2 linked regions of the Struthio camelus genome follow. The protein of the gene in region 1 purifies or fractionates together with the protein of each later gene. This does not show direct contact. Links are inferred from orthologs where the notes say so. Each region holds a gene or a part of one and is shown in the gene's direction. Other genes may lie near its edges. The genes, in order: RNF114 and protein mono-ADP-ribosyltransferase PARP12.

Region 1 (12,147 bases):
AACATTTTAGAATATCTGAATAGACTTAGCCAGTTTTCGGTACTGTGTACAATAAAAACTTTTACCACTTTAGTGTACTACTACTATACAGTTTTGAATGGCTGTTTTCTGTAATCTTAAACTAGGTCAAGAATTTATAGTTAAAAATATATATATACACACACCAATTTGCATGAGTTAGTTCCCTTAGCCTCTAGTATACCTGAGCTATGTTCTCACCACAGGTCAAATTGTTTTTGATTGCAAGCAGGTATAATTTGGCCATCAGATCCTTGTACTGAACAAATGTTGATCCACAGTGCACAACCAATCACCACCATCAGCAGCCGCACATCAAGAGACATCCTGCATGGACCATCCAACAATTCAAAAGCCTGAACTTAAGCATAATGATGAAGCTGACCTACGTGGAAATCTGGAGGAATGGAAGTTTCCTCTTAAGAGAGGCAGAGGAGTCTCAAACACTCCATTAATGTTCAAATTCTCTGATCAACTGTGAAACAACTTGGGGGGGGTGGGGGGGGAGGAAAAATAAAAGAAAAATACCCATCACTGGTACAAGCAACCCACAACGCATTTTAGACACCTATGCCAGAAACACTTTTTATTCTAACTTCAGGTTTCAAAACAGTTCTTTTAAGTCACTTGTAGCACGTACTACTGAAACACTGCAGCAGCTTTTAACAAGCATATAAGGAGAGGTAAAAGATAAAACAGGAAATCGACAGCAGAGAACTCATTAGCTGTCTTCTAGTATCCAAATCAAGCAATACACAAGTTCCTACATTTCACTCCAAGATCCTGGCAAAAGTAAATAATTTGAAAGTACATTAAAATCAAAGCTTCATAAGTTGAGAACCGACAAGCAAGTAAAAGACATTCTTGAAACTATTATTTAGAGATGTTTGCTCACCATTATTATATAACTTGTGGAAACCTCAGCAACGCATCGAGTTGAAAGCACGGATTGATTGTTAGTACTTGTGCTAAATTAAGAGCAGATGCAGCATAAAGAACAAACTTTGAGTGAGCTTACATGCAACCTAATCACTCGCCCTAGTAAGAGCATCTCCAAGTAGAAAATAAGGCATAGCAGCAGGAGAGTCTGAACAAAACCATTAGATAAGTTCTTCCACTATTTTAAGGTTATTTTACGAATGAAGACAGGATTTTGACTTCCACTATCCAGACACTCTCACCAATACAAAATCCACGTATTTTCCACCTAACCTTTCCTATGACTTCTGTTTACCAGCTGTGTGCAGTTGACAAATGTAAATATATACATTAGGCTGCCTTAAGGAGTGGAAAAATATCTTCAAAGGAAATGCATGAAAGACGCCAAAAAAACCACACGTTTTTGCTACTGCCACATATGAAATATCTTACCTTAATATTTTTGAACTCCTTTTTCCAGGGGTAAAGAAAGAGATTAATTCCAACTGTCTCGAGCACGCTGAACGCATTATGGAGAGAATGTAAACTTGAGGATTTCAGCGATCTCAGGGAGTTTTCAGCCATCTCATAAAATTTTATCAACCGGAATCTATAAAAGGGATCAATTTTGGGAAGGCAAAGTAAGGCTGACGCCGCCACTCGCAAATATTCATCATTAATAGGACGCTGCTTGCTGTCAGAGGCGTTCAGTTTGCATTCGTGGAACTGTACATACTTCCTAAATAAATCGTCTTTATATTTTGTATCCATTGAAATCAGATTTTGTCTCACACTTCGGCAGCTACCTCATCTCTTTCATGGTTATTCCACAGTAGGTTGATTATCTGGCATTAAGAATCTTCAGTAATGGCAACTCTTCTGGAATAAAAATTGAAAAAGACAAGTCATCACAGATGTCGATAGCATCTATTTGCCTCACAGGGTTCTATAAAATCATTCACAGTGCAGGGGCTCCCAGAACAGACTCTTTAGGGTTCTGAAAAAGCACAGGAGCCTACAGAAATGTTGGTGTCCTCCTTTTCACTGCTATTCTCTACTCCTTTCCCCAGTTAACTGTCTAAAACAGAGCACCAGAAAGCTAAATGGGGCAAGGCACCAAGAGTGTGATACCAGAAAATTGGTGGAAATTCAAGTCCAGATTGAGGATTCCTTGGCTAAGAGAACAACAGCGAAGGTAACTCACAACATAAGACCGAAAGACAAAAGCAGGGGTTTTTAGGGCGTCTTCTCTTTTTCTTTTATCGCGCCTTTTCGATTCAAACAAATCGTACAAACATGACGAGAATTGGTCACTGTTTTATTTCGTTTGCCCTGCACAGAGATATAAAGGTACAAAATCCCAAAAAGAAGTTTCTTTTTGCTCAGATTAGGAAAGCATATACTTCTCTTTTTGCTAGTGGCATAGGCTCGGCCCATAGAATTGAGCAGATTAATACACTTAGCCTTTCTACTTCTAACATTTTCTAGGCTTTTGAACACCACTCATTCTATCCAACGGCACACCCCGGCCATCGTGGTGCCGGCAGTACGCTGCAGCCACCCCCTAGAGAGCACATGTGCCCCCGAACACTGCAAAGTACAGCCAAAGCTTTAGCCAAATGCTAGTAGTAGCATTGTAACCTTTTCGATGGAAAGCTACAGCTACCAATTTTAACTGCTTTATTAGAACAGAGCAAAATCATTTCTGTGTTTATGTCATTTTGTTTGCAGGGCTGGTTGCTTTTACGTATTACTGACTATGCTTTTTCATCTCATTGAGTTCTTATCTCCCACACAGAAAAAGCTGGTAAGAAAATAAGCTTCCTAACATTACTTTACCAAAGCCAAGGTAACTAACAGGTCAACAGACTCCATCTAAATTTCCTGAAGAAATTGTGATCAGAAAGCAGATCACAGGCTTTATTTTTTTTGTACTGCTATTTTTATTTAAAAGACAGCACAATCCTAGTCCTTATACGCTTCCTAGCTCTAAACAAAAAAAGAAGAAAAAACCCCACACAATCCATTGTATCAGTTATAGTCAGTCTGAAACAGCATTTTAGAAAGACTTCCCACCCAATATTAATTTCAGCAGCCATAAGACTGCTGATTATTTTAGCAGAAGCCTATGAGGACATTGAAAAAAATCACTCTAAGTGCAAGATGAACTGAATGAAAGGAGCCATAACACAAATACATGACAAAAAAAAAAAAGGAAAAAAGGGTAGAAACAAGAAGGCCCAACAGCCTAGCAACTAATCTTGCTTGATGAGAGGATGTGCCTAACAGTAGCATCGTGTGGGAAAAGTTAACCAGCAGCTCAATTTCTGCTCAGAGGCATACTGCTCTTGGTCTTTGCACAAGCAGAAACGCACTGATGTCGGGAGAGAAGCTGTGAATCACAGGACACACGGGGTTCTAAATTAACATCTTAACACAAGGGGCAGAAGTAAGAATGTAATTCAGTCCTTTCCACAAAGCGCTCACTTCTCTCCCTCCCTCCAGGATTTTTCCCTCTTAATTTGTGTCAGACGAAGTCTGTGGACAAAAACAACACAATTTCTGTAACTTAGCGAGAACAGCTGTAGCTAGGCTGTACGAGAGAAGCGCAGACAGAGCTCTTCGCTTGGCACGCCAATAGCACAGCCTTAGGACAAGGGATGATCTTGCGTCGGTAAGGAGTTGGATTAAGGAGCAGCTCCTCCACCTGTAACGTCGACAGCTGCTTAACGAAACAGCTCAGACGTACAAGACGCCACGCTCGGGAAAGTCCCCGAAGGAAGAGAAAGCCCTTCATCAAGGCCTCACGCCCCGTGACATTCAAAGCCGCTGGCAGCTCCGGTCGCGACCCGCCGTTGGCGCGCAGGCCGGAGCTCAGGCGGCTGCGAAACGGAACACGACGAGCGCCAGGAAGCCACGAACCTCCGCAGAGCTGCGGCGCCGCCAGCAGCGGACCGGCCTCGCGGCGGCCCCCGGGGCGCAGGGGCACACAGCGCCGAGGGAGAGACGGGCCCGCCGCCGGGACGGGCAGCGCCGCGCCGCCTTACCGACGGGAAGCCGGGCCCAAGGCGCGCCCAGCGGAGGAGGCCGGAGAGCGGCCGGCCCGCGGCCGCCCCCGCGCCGAGCCTCGGCCCTCTCAGCCGGCGCGCAGCGCGGGGGAAGCTCGGGCAGCCAAACGCCGAGGCCCCGGAGCCGGCAGCGACCGCGGAGCGGCCCCGCTGCGGCACCGAGCCGCCGCCGCCCCTCGGGGGCCGCCGCCGCCCCGGCCCGCACTCACCGCCGCCGCCCCGGCCCGCCGGCAGGAAGCGCCCGGTGACCCGGATGTAGACTCCGCCCCCCCCCCCCAAGGCCGCGCTGCGCCCCCCGCCCCGCTCACCCCCTCCTCGCCGCTTGTCCTCCCGTCGCCGACCACGCGGGCGCTCCCGGTGGCGAGCGCGGAGGGCGACGGCGGCACCCCGGAAGTGGATGGCGGCGGGCGGGGGGTGGGGGGAGAGGGGGAAGCGGCGCCTCCCCCTGCGGCGGTGGGGGGGGGGGTCCGCGGTGTGACGTCAGCGGGCGGTGCGGGCGGCGGGGGGGAGGGGGCTCGGGGTGTCGGACTCCCCCGGCCGAGGGGCTCCGGGCGGAGGGACCCCCGTGTCCGCCCCCCGGACCCAGGGGACGGCCGGGCTGTGCCCCCCCGGGCTGTGGGACCCCCCCCAGGACCCCCCGGACCCAGGGGACGGCCGGGCTGTGCCTCCCCAGGCTGTGGGACCCCCCCCTAGAGCCCCCCCGGACCCAGGGGACGGCCGGGCTGTGCCTCCCCAGGCTGTGGGACCCCCCTAGAGCCCCCCCGGACCCAGGGGACGGCCGGGCTGTGCCCCCCCCAGGCTGTGGGACCCCCCCCCAGGACCCCCCGGACCCAGGGGACGGCCGGGCTGTGCCTCCCCAGGCTGTGGGACCCCCCCCTAGAGCCCCCCCGGACCCAGGGGACGGCCGGGCTGTGGCCCCCCGGGCTGTGGGACCCCCCCAGGACCCCCCGGACCCAGGGGATGGCCGGGCTGTGCCCCCCCAGGCTGTGGGACCCCCCCAGAGCCCCCCCGGACCCAGGGGACGGCCGGGCTGTGCCCCCCCCAGGCTGTGGGACCCCCCCCAGGACCCCCCGGACCCAGGGGACGGCCGGGCTGTGCCCCCCCCAGGCTGTGGGACCCCCCCCAGGACCCCCCGGACCCAGGGGACGGCCGGGCTGCGCCCCCCCGGGCTGTGGGACCCCCCCAGGACCCCCCGGACCCAGGGGACGGCCGGGCTGTGCCCCCCCGGGCTGTGGGACCCCCCCCAGGACCCCCCGGACCCAGGGGACGGCCGGGCTGTGCCCCCCCGGGCTGTGGGACCCCCCCCAGGACCCCCCGGACCGAGGGGACAGCCGGGTTGTGCCCCCCCGGGCTGTGGGACCCCCCCAGGGCCCCCCGGGCTGGGGAGCAGCCTAGGCGGGGGCGGCAGGGGGGTCAGAGCAGGGCGTTTCGGGGACCAGCCGCTCGGGGCCAGGCCGGCGCGGGAGGGCCGCGCTCGGCGCCCTTCGCCCCTTGTGTTTTAGGAGCCGGGGGGCGTTTGGCGCGCTCGCGCGTGGAACGAGAGCGGCTGGTGCCGCGGCCGCCCGCGCACCCAGCGTCGGGGGGACACGGGGAATAAAGGCCTGAAGGCGGCGGCGGATCCGCCCCTCGGCTCCCCCGCCAGGTGGTCACAGCCGCGAGGGAAGGAGAAAAGCAGCCGCTGCAGGGAATTACGCGTCCGTTCAACCTCGGCACGAGGCGTTTATGCCACGACCCTAACAGAAGGGATCGTGACGCCTTTATCGTTTTATAAACAGCTTCTGCGGTGCCCTGGCTTGCCCACCGCCGACAGGAGCTGCGTTGTCCTCCCGTTACCAGCTCGGCGCGCCCCAGCCGGCGCAGCCGGACCGCGAGAGCAAGGGGGAAACGGCACGACGCTCCCCGACCGCAAGATGCCGAAAACCGCCGGCAACCAACAGCGGCACCAATTAAACGCGGACGGCGGCGGCCTTGAGGCCGGGGGCGGGGGGGGGGGGGAACAGCCCGCGCCATCTACAATTTTTCACGCGGCCTTGCTCTAGCTGTTGGTAAAAACGCTCCTTTTCTCTTCCGCCAGGCAGAACCGCCGCCTCCTGCCTCACCCCGGGCCGCGGCCGCTCCGCAGGCCCGGGCGAGGCGGGCGGCCCCCGGCGGCGCTCGCCCTGCTGCCCGCGCCGCCACCGGCTGCCCCGCGCCACTGGCGGCCCTGCCCCGGGGCGCCCCGGCCACGCCCCCGGCCCCTGGGCACGCCCCTCCGGCCCCTGGGCACGCCCCCAACCTCGGGCCACGCCCCCTGCGCCGGGCCTCGCCCGCCCCCGCGGGGCGGGAGTCTCCTCGCCGTGCTCGCCCCGGCGCCGGGATCTGTGCTGCGGCTGCGCGCGGGCGGCTTCGCGATTGGCTGGGGGTTCGGGGCGGGGCCCGCGCGGAGGCGGAGGTCCGAGGGGGCGGTGGGGCCGCCGCAAGATGGCGGTGGCCGGTGGAGGTGGTGCTTCGCGCTCTCCGGAGCGGGCAGTGGCGGCAGCGGCGCGGCGGCACGACCCGCTGTCGCGCTTCACCTGCCCTGTGTGCCTGGAGGTGTACGAGAGCCCGGTGCGCGTGCCCTGCGGACATGTGTGAGCGGCTGCCGGCGGCGCGGCGCGGCGCGGCGTGGGGGCCTCGGGGGCGGCTCCGGGCCCGCGGGCCCCTTCCTCGACCGGGTGCCGTGAGCGGGCCGCGAGGCGGCGGGCGGGCGCAGAGGCCGCGGCGGGGGCGGCCCCGGGCCGGGCTCGGGCGGGCCCGGCTCCCGTAGGGGGAGGTCGGTGAAGCGGCCTTGCCCGAGGGGACGGGGGTCTGCAGGCAGCTGCGCGCTTTAGCCCGTTGTAGGGGCGCCGTGAGCCTCGCTTGACACAAAAACAGCGGCGCGGTGCGTTCGGTAGCTTCCCCCCACCTGTGAAAGCTGGTGGAGATAGAGATTTGTCGAAAATCTGATAATTCCGACTGTGATGGCCCAGACTGCACCTCCCGTCACACGGCACAAATGTCAGCCGGCCGCTGTCGCTTCTTGTGACTCCTTTATCGCTAATAACAGGGGGCATGGCAGGTCTCTGAGTGTTTTAATCGAGTTGTAAGGAGCGTCCTTCTCACCGCTTGCTGTTTTTCTCCCATGCTAGCTTTTGCACTCCGTGCCTGCAGGAATGTCTCAAGCCGAAAAAGCCTGTTTGCGGCGTCTGCCGCAGTACCCTGTCTCCTGGTAGCAGAGCTCTGGACCTGGAGAAGCAAATTGAAATGACGGAAACCACTTGCAATGGCTGCAATAAAAAGGTAGGAAAGCGTTTGAAAACCAAGTGCCTGAAGTGTTCCTGTTCAGTCCTACAGCTTAGAGGGAAGTAAAGTATTTGCTCTTCAGCTTTCTGCAACAACAGGTCAAATGCTTGTTTTAAGTACTACAGGCACTTTTTTTTTGTAAGTCGTTCCTAAATGTTGACGTTTTTCCACAGTCTTTATTGTTACCTCCCTAGGAAGTGAATTCTGAGTGTGAGATGCTGTGTTGGTTTAAAAATAATAATAAAATATTGCTACGAGGATGTCTGTGGGTGTAACGCTGTAAGGAAATGGTGAATGTGGTTTTAAACACTGAGAGCCTAGGCTTTTAAACAGAAGAACTTTGTTTGCTTCCTCAGAAATAGTTATGAGACAAAGCTGTCCTATATGAGCAGTATATTCCATATATTTTACTGTTTGGTAAAATCCTGCATATGAAACACTTAGAGGACACCCTCTTATCATTTACTTCCTCTTTGTAAGTTTGGGCTTCTTAGCATTGTCCCAATATACGGGAAAATATCTTGACAGATGGAAAGACAGCGAGAAAAGGTTAATTAGATGCATATTACACCAAAACTGCAGCTTTGTAGTTCATATGGTCCTGTATCTAATCCTCAGATTAATTGGTTCACTTGTAAAGCTAAAATCTTTAATTTAAAACTCATTAAAGAATGTCATTATGCTAACTGAACTTTTACAGCTCTCTTTTTATTAAAAAAACAAAGTTCCTCATCTCCTGCACTACTGCTGTTATATATTTCTCATAAACAAGGTGAGAGTATCTGTTCTGTTAGTTTCACTTTTGATTTCTGAGTAGTATCACCTTTTTTATTCTGGCTGATATAAAATTGCAGTCCCTTGACTTGTAGATTTCCTTACAGGAAATTTCAGTTTTCATTAGTGGGATAATGCTTGAAACACGATTGTCAGACTTGCACTTGGTTTTTGATGGAGGCTGATACATTAGCTATATCTTTATCTCGCATCTACTGCTAATCAGTATCTAATCCTCCTGAGTTATTGCCTATTTTTGTACCTCTTACTCCTCCTAAAAACACTGTTCTTTCTAGCTTGGATAGGGTTATTAAGATTCGGATCTAATTTAAAGCATGTTTGAAATCGATTGTTAGCCAGACTTCAAGCATAAAATGGATTTTTGCAAAGAAAAAAACCTTCAGGCTTTTGCAAGTAGAAATTGTGAAGTCAGGTTCGTCTCCGTTCCTTCGTTGTACGTGCTGCGTATCTGACAACGTTCTGCAGTACAGATCTTGGTGTAGATCAATTACAAAAAGCGAAGCTATTACCCGTATTGGCTCTTCTCCTGAGCAACCAGATAAACTGGCTTTATATGAAACTTTTATATTACATCTTAGGAAAAGTGAGCTGTCCTGAACAGCATGGTATTGGTAACATATTACAGGCAACAAAGTTACTGGTTAACTAGTACGTAGTCTTGACAGTTTTCTGTCTCATCAGCCTAATTGTTTTTCTGTTTCAGCATTTTCTATAGAAAGCCTATTTCTTTTGCGTATCGTTTACTTCTTCTGCCTAAAAGCCTGAAAGTGAAAGTGACTGCAAGTAGTTTAAACTGAGTTTGCTGTTTAATTGTTGTCTCTCCAGATGTATCTCTCAAAGATGCGTAGCCATGCAGCTTCTTGTTCAAAGTACCAGAATTATATAATGGAAGGTGTAAAAGCTGTAACTAAAGAACCCCTTAACAACACCAGGTAACTAGCTCTTCTCTTGACGTGCTATTTTTTGATACCACAAACTGGGCTGTAAATATTTAATCATTATGAAACTTAAAAATTGATTCTTGCTCTGAGAACAGTCCTTTTATCTTGTTTAAACAAAAGTTGACTGTGTTATGATGTGTCATGCAAACTGTAGAATACTGGAGTAAAAGCAGACTTTACCTCTTCACTCAGTTTGGGTGTTAATTCTTTTAATCCTCTCATATTGTTAAACTAAGCCTTCAACCTAACAACAGACTATGCACAGGCAAGCTGTTCTAATTTGTGATGTTATCCATGGATGTTTTAGTGCAAGATCAGGGTACTTAGTTAAAGGGGGGTGGGAGAGGTGTTAAGTAATAGTTTTGTCTTTCTGTCTCTTGATTGTAGTAACTTACAATGAAGGGAAGTTGCAGTGAGCCGCATTGTAGCGTGTTGGGTGTGTGACTGTGCCTTTTTAAAAAATATATATATAAGAAAGCAAACTGATAAATGGCATTTGTAACATTTGTAAGAGAAGTAGTTTTGTATAAATATGGATGATATTAAAAGTTCTTTAAGATATCATTAGGAATAAAGAAGCTGATTCTTGAAATTAGCTTGCCTTAATTGCGTAGAATGAAATTACTGCTTTGAATAATTTGTATTCTAAATAGCTGGTAAGATAAGTAGTTATTCCCAATGTTCTTAAGTTTAGCTTTCCTGAAACAGTCTCTTTTTCCTCCCTGCAACCAGGAACTTTCCAAATCGCTTTACCTTTCCTTGTCCGTACTGTAGTGAGAAAAACTTTGATCAAGAAGGACTAGTTGAACACTGCAAAACACTGCACAGCCTGGATGCAAAACAAGTGGTAATAATGAGTCTTGATTCAAGAATTGCAATGAAGTCTAGTCTTAAATCCCTTTGAAACAATGAATTAGAGACTTGCTGCTTGAAGTTAAGTACATGTTTATAATCGCTTCTGTTAAAGTCAAGTGTGGGTATGCTGTTCACGCACTTAAGTTTTACTTAATTGTGGTTTCGGAAACGTTTGCTGGAGGTGACTTTCTCTAGTCCTATTGTAGTTCACATCTTCCTTTTCTTATTTGAGAAATGGCAGGCATTTGAAGTAAATTATGCATGCTAATAAGCATAATATCATTCATATAATTTCAAAAAGATATTTACTGTTATTTAAGATCTCTCTATGCTATTCTCAGCAAGAAGATCTGTTATAAATGCATGTGAAAAATACTTGGAAAAAGTTGCATCTCCCTCTAGTAATCTTTATCTGCTTTTGCTCCCTCACGTACAGGAGGAATCGCAAAACTTGGAACTCACTTTGAAACTTTCATTTGTCTTGAAAGTGTTTTTTGGAATTCAAAATTATTAATTTAGGAAAAAAGTTCACTTCTTTCACTTTGAGAGAAGTGATCTTTGCAAAAGAGTTCAAGGAAACTGCTCTATTATTGAGAAAAGAGGGATGAAATCGCCACAGTAAACACTGTACTCAATAACTCTAATTTCCAGTATATAGGGAGAAGACCCTAAACCATTCCAGTTCAGAGGTCTAAAAATCAAATGGAAATAATGTAGGGTTATCTGAAATTTTTTTATTGACAGTCCTAGTAAAGTAATCTAAAATCACTTTACATATAGAGTAGTGACTGTCGCAAACCTCAGGCTTTAGTCTTCCATATTGTCTCTGTCCTGCCCTTCCCAGTGTAAACGTTAAAGCATTTAATCATTGGTACTTAATTGGCTTTCTTGTTGGGTGGTTTTTTTTTTTTTTTTTTCTTGAAGGTCTGCCCAATTTGTGCCTCAATGCCATGGGGAGATCCAAATTACAGGAGTGCTAACTTCATGGAGCACCTTCAGAGGCGTCATCGCTTTTCATACGATACTTTCGTGGTATGTGTTTTCTTACCTTTGGAATACAGGCTGACTCTTAAAATCCAGCTTTTTTGCATAGCTGCTACTGTGAAATCTGATTTGTGCAGATGATGTCTCAATAATCAATTTATCCATTATTTTAGAGAAATTGTATTATTGGCAAGTCAAAGGATGAGGCAGCTATTTTCTGAGTTTTCTTGGTGTTGAACTAACTAATGTGGCTGTTGCAGTATGGCTGAGTTTCTATACCCTTTGTTCATAGGATTATGATGCTGATGAAGATGATATGATGGCACAGGTTTTGATCCGTTCTTTGCGTGATAAATGAAACAAGTAGAAGATTAACTGTAAAACCAAGCTTCCACGAGGGGAGAAGTGCCCAGCATCATTGCATTTCTCCCTTTACATCCCAAGATGAACTCAGGCATCCAGAAATATGGAAGATTCTTTATCTATCTCTTGATTTCAAATCCTGATTTGGTCTTTCTGTATCATTTGGTCTCTTGTTAGCGTGTTCTATGCTGTTAAACCATGTCAGCCTAGTTTTCTTACTAGCTTCACACAAAGCTTAATGATAGGTCAACATGAAGGAGACAAGTTTGTTTTCTCTTTCCTATGCTTGTTTTTCTGCAGTTGTGTTCATTTGACTCTCTTTAAAAGCAAAAACATTCCAGAAGGAATGGCCTGAGTTAGTAGGTAGATAACTCTCCCCAATCTCTCATTCACATTTCTTGAATGATAGTTTCAGAGATGTATTCACAGCTCTGTTTTCATTCAGTAAGAATGCTAGGTGTTAACTGTAATTGCCAGATCAGTTCCCATTTAAAGTGGCCTATGATTACTGTGACTTCGTAATGTTTACCAGTGTTTGAATTCATATAGTCAGCCTCTCAACTGTATGGAAAAGATATCTTTAGTACAGATCTTCAAACTGCAATCTTCTCTAGCAAATCTGTGCAACTGTGTAAGAAACTAGTTCAAAATACTTTAGTTCCATGCCTGTTATTTTCTTCCATACTCTGACAAAAATGGTTTGTAACCTGGAAAATAAACTTTTATTAGTCTTAGTTTAAAAAAAGATGCATTTTAAGTATTATATCAAACAGTAATCATGTTTGTTGGCTTTATGATTAATTTAATGACTTTGGCACTAGTTTTCTAGCGTTTTAATTTTAAGCCTTATGTTGACAGAAGGAGTCAAAAGTTTTTTTTTTAAATACTGCTGCTTCCTATTTAAT
Region 2 (12,081 bases), on another chromosome or scaffold:
CTAAGGAACACACAGAGGAGTGAATGAACTCAGAAAAGAAAAAGGCGGAAGACAATTTTAGAAAGTTTTCATTGAAGCAAGGAAGCTTCAATGGGAAGGACTCGAGCCTAGCAAATGGGATAACAAAGTGACAAGTTTCTGACTTCTTGGAAAGGTGGGTTTAGGTTTTAGATTTGCTTAGGGTGTTTCAGAGATGCAGCTGACTGCTATCTTCAAAGGCTTTGGCCAGAATTCCTGAGAAATACATCCCCTCCTTTGGAAGTCTGCTGTTCACTTCTACAGTCATGATGATCCTGCTTTTTTCTCGATGTGTTAGGAAGCAAAATAGCGATGTTTTGGACAGCTTCTGGAGAAGTATCATGGAGCTAAGGTGATGCTAAGGACCCCTGGATTTCCCAAAGCACCATTCATGAGACTGTCTTGCTAAAATTGGAAAGATTCTAGAAAATCGGACTGCTCTGTGGTATTTTCAGGAAGCAGCCTGAAGACTCATTTTCTGGGTAGACACATCCATCATTCAGAAAGTGATTGCTGTTCTCTTTGCTATCTGTTTGCAGGTTTGGAGGCAACCAGAAATTCCAGATCCCCCTCGTATCCTTTAAGGCACCCACTCCCCTTCAGTTCTCCTAGGAGAACGTGCTACAGAGACAGACGCTAACGTTGCATGCTGGCATTTAGACTATTGGCCAGAAGTATAACGAGAACTATCTTTTCTCATGCTATCCACAGTCTTCTGGTTTCACTCTTGGGTAGAAACCGTAAGTGAGGTAATAAGTATATAAATTTTACAGAACCTCTGCAAAAAGCTCCATTTGGGTTTGGATTTTTTTTCCCCACAAGAAAGGGTGGGAATAGTTTTCTTACTGTATTAAGCTAGTAACATTAACATTTTTTAGATATCTAGTGAATGTGCCCTACTCACACAGTAAGGGTTAAGCTGATTGCCAGATTTAGAGTCCTGAGGGAACTTTTTCCAGGTTAGATCGGTGAGATACGTTTGTTTATTTGCTGTCCTGTGTAGTATGGACATGGTCTGCTTCCTGGGATCACTGAAAGTTTTACCTAACAAATTCCATGCTGTCTCAAGGGTCTAGGACACTAGTGATGACTTGCCACTTTCTTCTTTTGATGAGAGTTGTGTCTTTTTTTTTTTTCTTTAACTACAAATCTTAAGGTGCTAAAGGTGGCTCATGTGATGCCTGTCTCTGTGGCTCAGGGAGCCTGTTGATTCAGCAGAGGACATTTCTGAACTGAATATTTAATAAACGAGTTGCCTCTGATTCTGAGGGACTAGACTTGATGATCCAAATGACTGCTTCTGTCCAATGTTTCAAACCTATTTGATGAACATGTAGTGTAACTATACGCTATAGAGATTCCAATAATCTAGACATAAAATAGCATGGTTTTCTATGACTAGTACGTGCAGACACAGAATTTGTATTCATAAGGATTACATGTTTTCCTAAACATATCTCTTCACATTGCCAGCGGAGACATTAGCGGTAAGTCCTTATCAATGGAATTTCCTATTTTGTCTAACATGGGATGAAGCACCATAGGACCAGGCCAATTTCCGCACTGCTGCTGACTGCAGTGCAAAATGAAAAGTTACACAGAATTCAGTAACTGCGTTCTGGCTCCCGACAAATTGCATTTTTTAATCATAAAGAATTCTGAAAAAGTAACAACAACTGCTTGAACTGCTGGAGTTGCTCATTTAAACTCATGCGTGTAAAACAAATAACCATGATACATAGAAAAGTGGCTTGGTGGCAACTCGTACATTAAGGAAAATGGAATTGCTATTCACTAGCTGTCAAAAGGGAAGCCACTCCCACCAAAAGTGGAAGGCTTAGTGGAGGAATTAACAGATATATTCAGATTCAATATATTAGGACAGCAGACATTATTGTTGGATAATGTGGTGACAAATGAAGGCAAAACTGTTCCGAGCCAACAAAAGGCTTCTAAACTTTGAGCTTCTAAACTATTTGCATCTGTTTCAATAAACTTTTTGTTCCGGTTGGTTCCCATGGGTTTTTTTTTTCCCTCACCTTGCACAAATTTCACCTTGAATTTCCATTCTAAATGGAGAGAGACAGGAGCATAAAAACTCATCTGAAATAAATTGGTTTGGGGTTTTTTCCATTATAATCATGACACCTTTCCTGGCCCTAAAAGGAATGAATTTGTTGGCTCAGGTGTTTTCAGAGGCATAAAAAACTCTTGTGGCAATAAACTTGGACAGCACTATACCAAAGCCACTTGTTAAGTACATTCTGTTTTAGATGTAGCCAGCATATATACACTACCATTCACACAGCCTTTTCAGAGGTGAATCAAAATCCAGTTTGAGCCCTTACTGCTCATTTGAGGATCAAAGCAGTATTAAAGAAGGCATTAACACTGTTAGGTCCCGGGATAGGGCTGTGCTTCAGAGACTTAGTTCCAACAAACGCACACTAAGTTTTAGGGGCATATCTACATGCGAGCTGACAGGGCTCTGTGCTGCTTTTTCAGCAAGAGATGAGTCTCTTGAGTCACTGGATTAGGGGAACAGCCATCAGGAATGAGAACTGCAGGCAAAGCCCCTCAAAAGCAATAGAAAGATTCCCTCCTACATTAACTCCAATGAGCTTGGGATCAGACCCAGGAGCAGAGTGTACTCCTTGCAGGAATAAAGTAAGGAAAACAAGATGGGCAGCAGTGACGTGCAGAAGAAAGAAAAGTCTAGACAGGATGTTCTTAGGAACTGGTGGTTTCTGTACGATGGAAGGAGCCAGTGCATAAGGTAATAGGTCTGTGTGAAAAAAAACCTTTTTGTGGGTATAAAGCTGAGAAGAACAAAAGCCTTGCACCAAACATTTACATCTGCACCATGTAACTAAAACTTCATCAGAATAAAACTAGAACTGTGCCAATGACACATAACAGTATCATTAATTGAGCTGTGAATCCCAAGCCAAAAATATTTTGATTTTCAGGAGCAAGGCCACTTGTGAAGTATTTAAGCAACAGTGAAAACTGTAAGCAATAGAAATTCTCACATATACTGCTGGGCTAACAGTTTGATAAAAAACGGGTGTCCTATGTCACGCCCAGTTTTTTCTGTTAGCTTCGAAAATGAGCTCAGTGCTGAGGCAGTTGTAAAAAATGAGGATTTATACGGCTTTCTGGAGCGGTTGAAAGATCTTTGGGATAGCCAACAGCCCCACAGTCTGGTGTTATTCATGTACTGCACCAGAGTTGAGTTTTTCAGTTTCCTGCTTTCAAGTTGTGGGGCTTTTGTTGGTTGGTTCATTTTTAGGTTAGAGTACCACTGTGAAAATCTTTAAAAAATATAAGCTTGCTGTCAATTAGAGATGTTGACAGAGATGTCGGTTAGTCTACACTTCAGAAATACAAATAATAAATGAAGAAATTAGTGCAATATACAGAAATACTATATAGCAAACACAAGCCAATGTATTTCCTACAAAATGGACCAGCTGCAGATAAAGTTACTTTAAGTTCAGCCAAGTATTCAAAAGTAACCATCCTGTCAGATCACCACTGAGGAAATTATTAGTCCTATTCTTAGAGATTCCTTTTTGGATATGCATGGATAGTGCGAGGGACACTCCGAATGTGTATTGAAATGTAGGCTGAGAGGTGATCAAAAACATTTGCAAGCAAACATATCACACTAAACTGCTAAACCCTTGGTGGTCAACGATAAAGTTATGTCAGTCAGAAGGTAATGTTTCACCAGAGAACGTTCAAGCTCACAACTACGCCTAGGATCTCTCTTTTTCTGTCCATTTTCCTTACCTACGTAAAAATGTCACAGAACTGTAGGGGAGGCTCAGTACATCTGTTTCCATTACAAATAACTCCAAGGCAGGAGTTTCACCATGCTAGCTAGGAGAAGGGCTAAAACAGATAAAAACAGATAGATGAGGTGGGAAGTGGTGGCACTACATTCTATCACAACAATGGATGTTTTAAAGATATGTACACAAATCCACTGGAAAATTATTAAATTACTGCATTCTGAAGATTTATACGCAAGATTATGAAATGATGTTGCAATTCAAAATAACACAATTATCCATCAATTTTTACCAAAAAAAAAATATATAGTAATCTAATGACTGACTTTAGATTAATCTAATCTAAAAATTGTAAGGGGAGTTTCCACAGCACAATGCATCACATGTTAGCAAAGGTGGCTCACTGAAACTACTGTATCTAAAGCCCCACAACTGTCATAAATCCATGTGCTCTGAGTCCTGCAGGTGTTCAGAAACCATAGGAACTGCTTAAAGGGAGCTTATTACAGGTCCAACGCATAAAGCAGCCGTAAATTGTAGGTGGAATAGTTCATATACGTTATGTTACAATGACATTTAACAAAACAGAGTTTGAGGCTTACCTTTAATTAGGGTATTTGGGAGGTGAAGAGGAGCCAGTTGCCTTATGTGCCCTGAGGTCTCATGTAACCCTTTCTTATACTGGAGATATTTGATTTTCTAAATGAGAAGCTACTTTTCCATTAGCAGAAAATTCTTCTAAAGAAGGAGAAAATACAATTTTGCTTATATATAATTCATAGGTGGGGAAGTTGTATCAAATCAAAGAGGTACTTTTTTCTTCCTGAGGAACATGCTACCAAACAAACTACAAGAGATTTGTGTGAGAAGGAATAAGCTATGATTTACTTTGGGTATTCGTCTGGGGATGGGAAGGTACTTAATGTTCAAAGGCAGCTGCAAATCTTTTTGCTGCATCAATCATTGGCTGTTGTTCTAGTATAACTTCTGTTCTTGTGAAAAGTGATACAATGCTAGATCTGCTCCAGAGCCTTGAAAAATTCAATGTAGCTGCAAAGCAGGAACAGCAATGCGAACTTCCTGGTGAAATTCACACCAACAGATCAGAAGAAACTGCAATCAGTATAAGGCCACCTGCAAACAACACCCCTCAACACCTTACCTTGCTCTCCTTTGTACTTCTCCCTCTATCTCTACATTGGCATAGTCAATTCTACAAATTTTAGGACAAAAAAAAAAAAAAGCCTCATTTATTTCTGCCAACTGGGTGCTGTTTTCTAGGTGAAAGAGGGAAAAAGATATCGGGGACGTACAGTTGAAGCAGCAACCTCGACAGCACAGTGATGCTGAAACAAACGTTTAAGACGTAAGAAGATGGGACCCACTTAAATAGGATAGTTTTAGAGAACGAGACAAAAAAAGTAAATGGAGGCCTACTGGAATGAGTGGGAGCTGCTTAGCACCATGCTTGTTTCCGTGACTTTTATGAATGGGAATATCTGAGTGTTCAGTCAAGGTATTTCCTACTGAAGTGCCAGTATACGTAGTTATCCACCAATTTGACGTTTGACAACTTGCTGATATCAGGAGGCTTTCACCTGTGTTTTGAACAACTCAGGGAGGAAAGAGTGGAATTACTATCTGTGGTGTGTGAGCTCTCACTTAAAATTCCCCTGGTAATAGAGGACATAAAGGTAGCAAATGTGGCACCTGGATCTTAGGGGAGATCCAGATAACTAGAGACCAGGAAGCCAAATCAAGAAAAACTATACTAACATACGGAAAAGCCAGCAAGGCCTCTGTAGAGAACGTGTACCTCAGACACATACTGAAATTATTAGAGGGTGTCAACAAGAAGTATGTCGACAAGGGAGAGCCAAGTTCATACTGTTGACTTAAGATTTCCAAAAGTTCTTCACAGCTGAGGGAAGTCCCCCAGCGTACGCATCTTCAGGCCTGTACTATTCAACATATTCATAAATGGTCAGAAAAAGAGGATAAATAGCAAAGTGAAAAGGCTTGCTGAGAGCACTACGTTATTCAGGAAAATCATCATTAGGGTGAATTACGAAGAACTGCTGAAAGACCCTATGATACACTGGATGATAAAATGGCAGCTGAAATTCAGTGTACATTAACACAAGAAGGCAGAAACTGTCCTGTCTTCACACAGACAGTGATAACTTCTGAACTGACTATTACCAGTTAGGAATGAGATCTAAGGATAATGATGGGATAACTCTGTGCAAACACCAGTTCCAAGCTCAGAAGCCATCAATAAAATCAAACAGTAGGGGCTATTAGGAAAGCAGCAGAAAACGAAACAGAAAGTGCTGTTGTGCCACTGTACCTTTGATGCACTGCATAATATCTGCAGGTCTGGCCCTTAATGAAAAGACTATATTAGAAAGTGAAGGAGGACAAATATGGTCCAAGCTATGGAATAACTTCCATACAAAGGATGGCTAAAATAGATCCAAACTCTTCAGACTGGAAAGAGACAATGAAGGGAGATAAGTAGCTATAGAACCATGAAAAGAATCAAGAGAACAAATAGGAAACAATCCTAATAAAATTAGGGCATTTCTTCTGGTTCAGGAAATCAAATTAATGGACACTGGAAGGGTGGGAGGAAGTCAGGTACCTCTACAGCCTCTCACTCTCTTCTAGGCGTCTGTAGACGGCCTTTGTTGAAGGTAGGTTACAGACCTACATGGACCTCTAACTGACCTGTTATAGCTCTTCTTGTGCTGAATGTACTTGTTCAGCTTCTCCTTTCATCACTCCCTTCCCGATCTAACAGGGGAAGCAGGAAATAGGAAGAGACAAGGGGAAGGCAGCCAATTGAGCAAGGGCACAACAGAACTCACTGGTGAAGGAAGTACACACTGCTTTTGTTCAACGCCAAACACTGGCAACTTTAACAGCTCCCACGCCTGCTGCTGGCAGCCCAACAAAGAGAATGGTATTTTCTGGGTTTTTTTTTTTTTTTTCATGATTTAAAGCATGCCTCTGAATGAATGTGATGCAGCACTAGCAGTGCCAACATGACCCTAAGAGGAAGGCACTTAAAATGCCCAAAAGATGGTCCCCACGCTAAAGAGTCTATGAGCACCCAGAGGGTGATCACGGTAGCTGGCCGTGCTCTGGTGACGTGGCTGTAGCGCAAGAAGCATTGCCAATGGATGCATGCCCACGACTGAGTTTTTGAGATATCCCAAGGAAAGGAGTATGGGAATTCATTTCATTCTTCAATACCCTTCCTTATATGCCATCAGAAAAGCACCCAGCTCAGAAACCTTAACGGAGAATTGGATTTTCCGGTGCCTAACGACGGCTGAAAGCACCCTGCAACGTAACCTCCTGTAACGGGAGGTGAGGAAGGAGTCCCGGCTACCGTCTCTCCTTTCCCGCTTACATTTACAAAAGACGTGAGAGCTTGCAGCTCCTTCTACCAAATGCGGCTACACCTAGGCAGCCTCTCCCCGGAAAGAAAGACAACCAAAACGCCAGGAGGAGGCAGGCCCAGGGGCCGGCCCGCAGCACCGAGGTTAATTAAAAACCTCGGCGGCAGGAGCCGGGGCCGGGCCCGCCCAGCGCGGCCCCTGGCGGCGGGGCGGCCCCAGGCGCCGCTTTCGGTTTCATTTCCTCGCCGCTGGCTGCGAGGGAGGCGCCCGGGTGGAGCTGCCCGGGGGCGCCCAGCCGAGCCGGGACGGGACGGGAGCTGCGGGTCGCGGCATGGCGCTGGAGGGGCAGCTGCTGCGGGTGCTGTGCTCCAGCGGCGGCTGCCTGGAGCAGGGCGAGCTGCAGCGGCGGCTGCCGGCTTGCCTCCGGCCGGAGCAGCTGGAGCTGGTGCTGCGGGACGCGCAGCGCTTCACGCTGGTGCGGCGGCCGGAGCCGCCGCGGGCCGACGAGCGAGGGGCGACAGCGGCGGCGGCGGCGGTGGTGGTGGTGGTGGCCACCAGCGGCGTGCGGCTGTGCCCGGAGCACGGCGCCGGCTGCGAGGGGCAGTGCGGGCGGCTGCACCTCTGCAAGTACCACCTGAAGGGCGTCTGCCGCAACCAGCGGGCCAGGTGAGGGGCCGGGCCGGGCCGGAGGGCAGTGAAGGAGCGAGGCGACCCCCCCACCCCCACTCCGCCCCGCCCCAGGGCGGAGGTGTCTCTCTGCTTCCCCGTTGTCTCCCGGCGGCTTCCCCGGGCCGTGGAGCGGCGGCCGTTAAACGGGCGCGCGGGGAAGAGGGGACGTTGGGGCGGGGGGCGGGAGTCCGGCGCCAGGTAGCGCCTCTTGGCGGCTCCCGGGACGGGGGAAGCGGCCTGTTGGGGTGCGACGGGGCCGTCCTCGGCGGGTTTGTCGCGCCTCTTCGGACGTGGAGCGAGCCTTCAGCAAACACCTGCCTGCCCTTCCGCTGCTGGCGCTGAGGGTGTTTTAAATGAATGCCTTTTTTTTTTGTTTTTTTCCCTTTTCTCCTTCCCCCTAGGGGGAGAGATATCGGAGGTTGTTTTACCGACTCTTGCTTCGGTTGCAACACTTCCTTCCTTGCTCGCCGCCCAGCTCGTATCGCTTCCCTTGCAGGGCATCCGTTAGGCCCAGAGCTCGGCCTAGCCCCGCGGCGAAGACCGAGCGCGGCCGAGGGGTCGCAGCACTTCATACAGCGCTGAGTTTCGGAGCTGAGTTTGCCGCGTGGGTCGGGGTCGGTGGCAGCGTTTTGGCTTTTTGGTGGTGCTTCTCCTGTGTCGTTTTGCCGGGAGCTGCCGGTCAAAAGCGCCAATGTTGCCAGACTATGCTAATGCCGTAATGACTGTAAATTAGAAATAAAATGGTAATTATCCACAGACTAATTATGTAAGCTGCTAGGCAAATCACATAATTGCTTGATGAGGACGCACTATAGCCAGTTTCGGAAAAAAATCTGATTTGGTGTGCTGTTTAGTGCAATACAGATGGGATAGCAAAATTGTGCCGATCTATTACGTTAATTTTACGTTTGGCTGTCTTGTAGGAAGGAATGCAAGTTTGTTCACAACTTTCACTCGGAGCACAATCTCTATGTGCTAAAACAGTATGGACTTGAGAATTTAAACAGTGATGAACTCCGCCAGCTGCTTCTTCAAAATGACCCTTCGCTCCTACCAGAGGTAAGCAATACTGCAGCAATTTCTTATCTCTGTACTTCTGTGAGCATCACTAAGTGGAAGAGGCTGGATATTAGCTGGAGATACGTACACAGTGTTGACAAACGCTGTGCTGAGAAATGTTCATGGTCATAGGCTGTGAGCTGACAGACTTTGTTTTTGCTTAGTCTCACTTCTGTGAACAGTTTAATTGAACAGAATGAGTGAAGTACAACAGTACTTGCAGAAGAAAACTGTAAGTTTGAACCCTCTTCCCTTCATAGTCTTTGTATGTGGGCATTGGCCTGCGTTACCCTTGCCTCTCCAGTCTTGTTTTCCAGTCAGAGTTTTGCAGATTGTAGTACTGTGAAGGGATAGAGCTCTACCGTGAATTGATAGGCGTTGAGTTTATTGTCACTGGAAGTGGACATATCTTTGTGTTAGGCAATAGAAATGTTTCTTCTGTCCGTGGTTCACTCGGAAATCTTCAAGAAACTACATGCATTGGTTGGCAGCTTTTCAATCTTCTGAAGGCATTCTGGTGTATATATAGTATGGCATGTACTGGTATTTTGTAGATCATTCTCTACCGATATTAGTATTTGATAATTATAATATACATCTTCAGTTGAGAGTAAACCATTTAGATTTTCAAAAGAAAGGACGAATCAGTTCAGGTTGGAACAATCCAGATCTAAAACTTTAAATCTGTATCCTCTCTTCTCTCACTACCAAATTAAGGTCAAAAAATTCACCTTTCCAAAACTAGAAAGGCAGGGAGTTTAGAGTAGTATGCCACAATAGAATCCACTGTCCTGCATTTATGTGATCTAGGATAAAATCCCAGTTGCTTGAGAATGTTTGTAAGATAGTTGTTTCTTGTCTGATGAAATATCTTTCTAAACGTCAGTGGGGAAAAGGAAAAACCTATCAAGTAATCATTTGGAAAAGAAGAAACATGCACAAGTCTTTTAAATGCAAATGTGAAATTGCAACTGTAAAAATGTAAAATCTCTTAAATTAAAGCAGTCTATTTTGAGTACATTATACTTCAATCTTTAAATTCTTTTTTTTTCCCTACCAAGGTCTGCTTGCATTATAACAAAGGTGATGGACCTTATGGATCTTGTACCTATAAAAAGATCTGCACCAAACTGCATATTTGCCAGTACTTCTTGCAGGGACAATGCAGATTTGGCAGCAGCTGCAAGCGATCCCATGACTTCTTAAATTCGGAATGTTATGAGAAACTGGAGAGACAGGGAATGAGCTCAGACGTTATTGAGAAACTACCCTCCACTTACAGGAACATGTATGACATAAAAAATGGCACCACGAACGTGTACGACACAAAAGATGGCAAGTCTTCACCATGCAAAGGTAAATCGCATCATCTTTTGAAAACATCAGAGGAGGAGTTAGGATAGTGAACTTAACATTTAGACACGTTTATGTTAACTGTGGCATTAACACGGCTGTCAAAACAAAAAAGAAAACTGAACTTGCTACCTTGCACCCAAGTCATTGACAGAGGTTGTGTCTCAAAAACTCAGGTGAAATCAATTCCAAGGCATTATGGGTGCCTGAGGAGTAAAGTGCTTGGTGTTTATAAAAATCTTAAAGCTTGGGTTAGAAGAGCATAACAGGACCAGAAAATAGAGACTTCATGTTTTCACCAAGAAAAATCACAGAAGAGGAGTAGAGAACTGTTTAAGAACAGAGGTGGCGTTTATTTGTGTGTTTGTAAACTACTCCTTTCTCCCTTTTATTTTTTTAATCTAGCTGTTGTCTAGCACAAAAAATCACAGCGAGCAGAATCCTAGTTACTTCTCAAAAATGTATTGCTATTTTGCTCGTTCTTGTCTTTTGAAGTTCCTTATAGTTGTCAGTCAAGTATAATTTAGCAGGGAAAAGGATAAGAGTGGAAAATCCAAGTGTGTGTGTGCGTGTATTTGTCTTTGCTGTTCTCCTAGCAATTCCATCTTACCTTCTGTTTCTGGAAATGCGTTTTGATTTACAGAAATACCAGATTTCGAAACTCTGAATTTTATAGATGTCAATATGAGCAGCTATGTGGAATGCACAGATAATTCCAGTCTGTCTAGAAATGCAAAGGCATTGGATTCCCTTCTTATTTTGTGGTGATAGCTACAAACTGAATCTGAGGAATTTAGCACTTGTGTGAAAATCATTCAGAAAGGCATAGGACTTATGTGTGTATAAGATTATCAAAGACTTCAGTGTCTTTCCTGAGCTGAACTCAGTTACATAGTTACAAACCCTGTTTCTAGGCCCTAGCCATAGATGCCCATGTAGGAGGGCTTGTTGAAACAATGCGTATTAACAAGGCTTGTAATTCCCCCTCTAGAGAGAAAACGCAGCTCTAGTCAAGAGTCCTCAACTACGAATGATGACAAATTGGAACAGATCTGTTTATATCATCTATACAAAAGTTGTAGCTTTAAAGGTAGGTTGTGATCATAGCAAGTCTACTTTATTTTCCTTTTCTTAGAAAAAGAAAACAATAGATGCTTTTCACAGAAAGTGGAAATTTCAGAGCTTACACTTCTCTTGAGGGCTGCAGAGAAAGTGTTTGACCTACTTGGCTTACTTAACAAAGGAGCTGTTCTGACTTCTTCTAAAAGGTGTGATATTGGCCTGTGTTGGAGATTGTCTGCTCCAGCTGGGTTCACGTAAGGGACTGCTGAACGATAGGATTCCTATTTCCACATGACTAGAGACGACACTGTGAACTCTGCATTGTCCCTTGTTTCTTCTAGCACTCTTCCATTCTATCTGTCTGAGCTCTGTCTCCCTTTAATCATGTTCTGACTGGTCCAGGGAAAATGCTGCTGTGCCAACTTACTTCTTGGGGTGTCCTTTTCTCATCCTTTTCCTTCTTGATGTTCTTGACCTGTAATACCTCTCTGGAGTACTGCGTATCTTGTTGTATGAACTGTGTGGTGCAGCCTTCTTGACTTTTCCTGTTGTGTTGCCTGTTGCTCTCCAGTGAAAACTAGCGTTCTGCCTATTTGTGCTGATTTGATCTTCACTCCTGTCAGTTCAGGAGCTCTGCACTGCTACTTTGAGTGATTCCTGAGTGACCCCCGCAATACCTGGGCTGCTGTTGGCACTACTGTTGTTACTTTTGAGGC

Evidence for each region.
Region 2: the proteins of RNF114 (region 1) and protein mono-ADP-ribosyltransferase PARP12 purify together in Homo sapiens (affinity purification with mass spectrometry; 3 studies listed by BioGRID and IntAct, counting the BioPlex papers as one, with this or other methods). This does not show direct contact. The link is inferred for Struthio camelus from reciprocal best matches to the Homo sapiens genes RNF114 and PARP12.

Annotation. Positions count from the first base shown.
Region 1 is NC_090959.1:9,896,739-9,908,885, forward strand, and holds the start of RNF114 (E3 ubiquitin-protein ligase RNF114), read left to right. Parts: upstream 1-6,376; 5' UTR 6,377-6,464; coding exon 6,465-6,613; intron 6,614-7,150; coding exon 7,151-7,301; intron 7,302-8,924; coding exon 8,925-9,031; intron 9,032-9,772; coding exon 9,773-9,887; intron 9,888-10,819; coding exon 10,820-10,927; intron 10,928-11,171; coding exon 11,172-11,237; 3' UTR 11,238-12,147. Other genes in the region: SPATA2 (spermatogenesis-associated protein 2), read right to left, coding at 1,390-1,707. UniProt on the Homo sapiens protein: E3 ubiquitin-protein ligase that promotes the ubiquitination of various substrates. In turn, participates in the regulation of many biological processes including cell cycle, apoptosis, osteoclastogenesis as well as innate or adaptive immunity.
Region 2 is NC_090942.1:63,880,832-63,892,912, forward strand, and holds the start of protein mono-ADP-ribosyltransferase PARP12, read left to right. Parts: upstream 1-7,506; 5' UTR 7,507-7,553; coding exon 7,554-7,888; intron 7,889-8,814; coding exon 8,815-8,950; intron 8,951-10,011; coding exon 10,012-10,306; intron 10,307-11,294; coding exon 11,295-11,393; intron 11,394-12,081.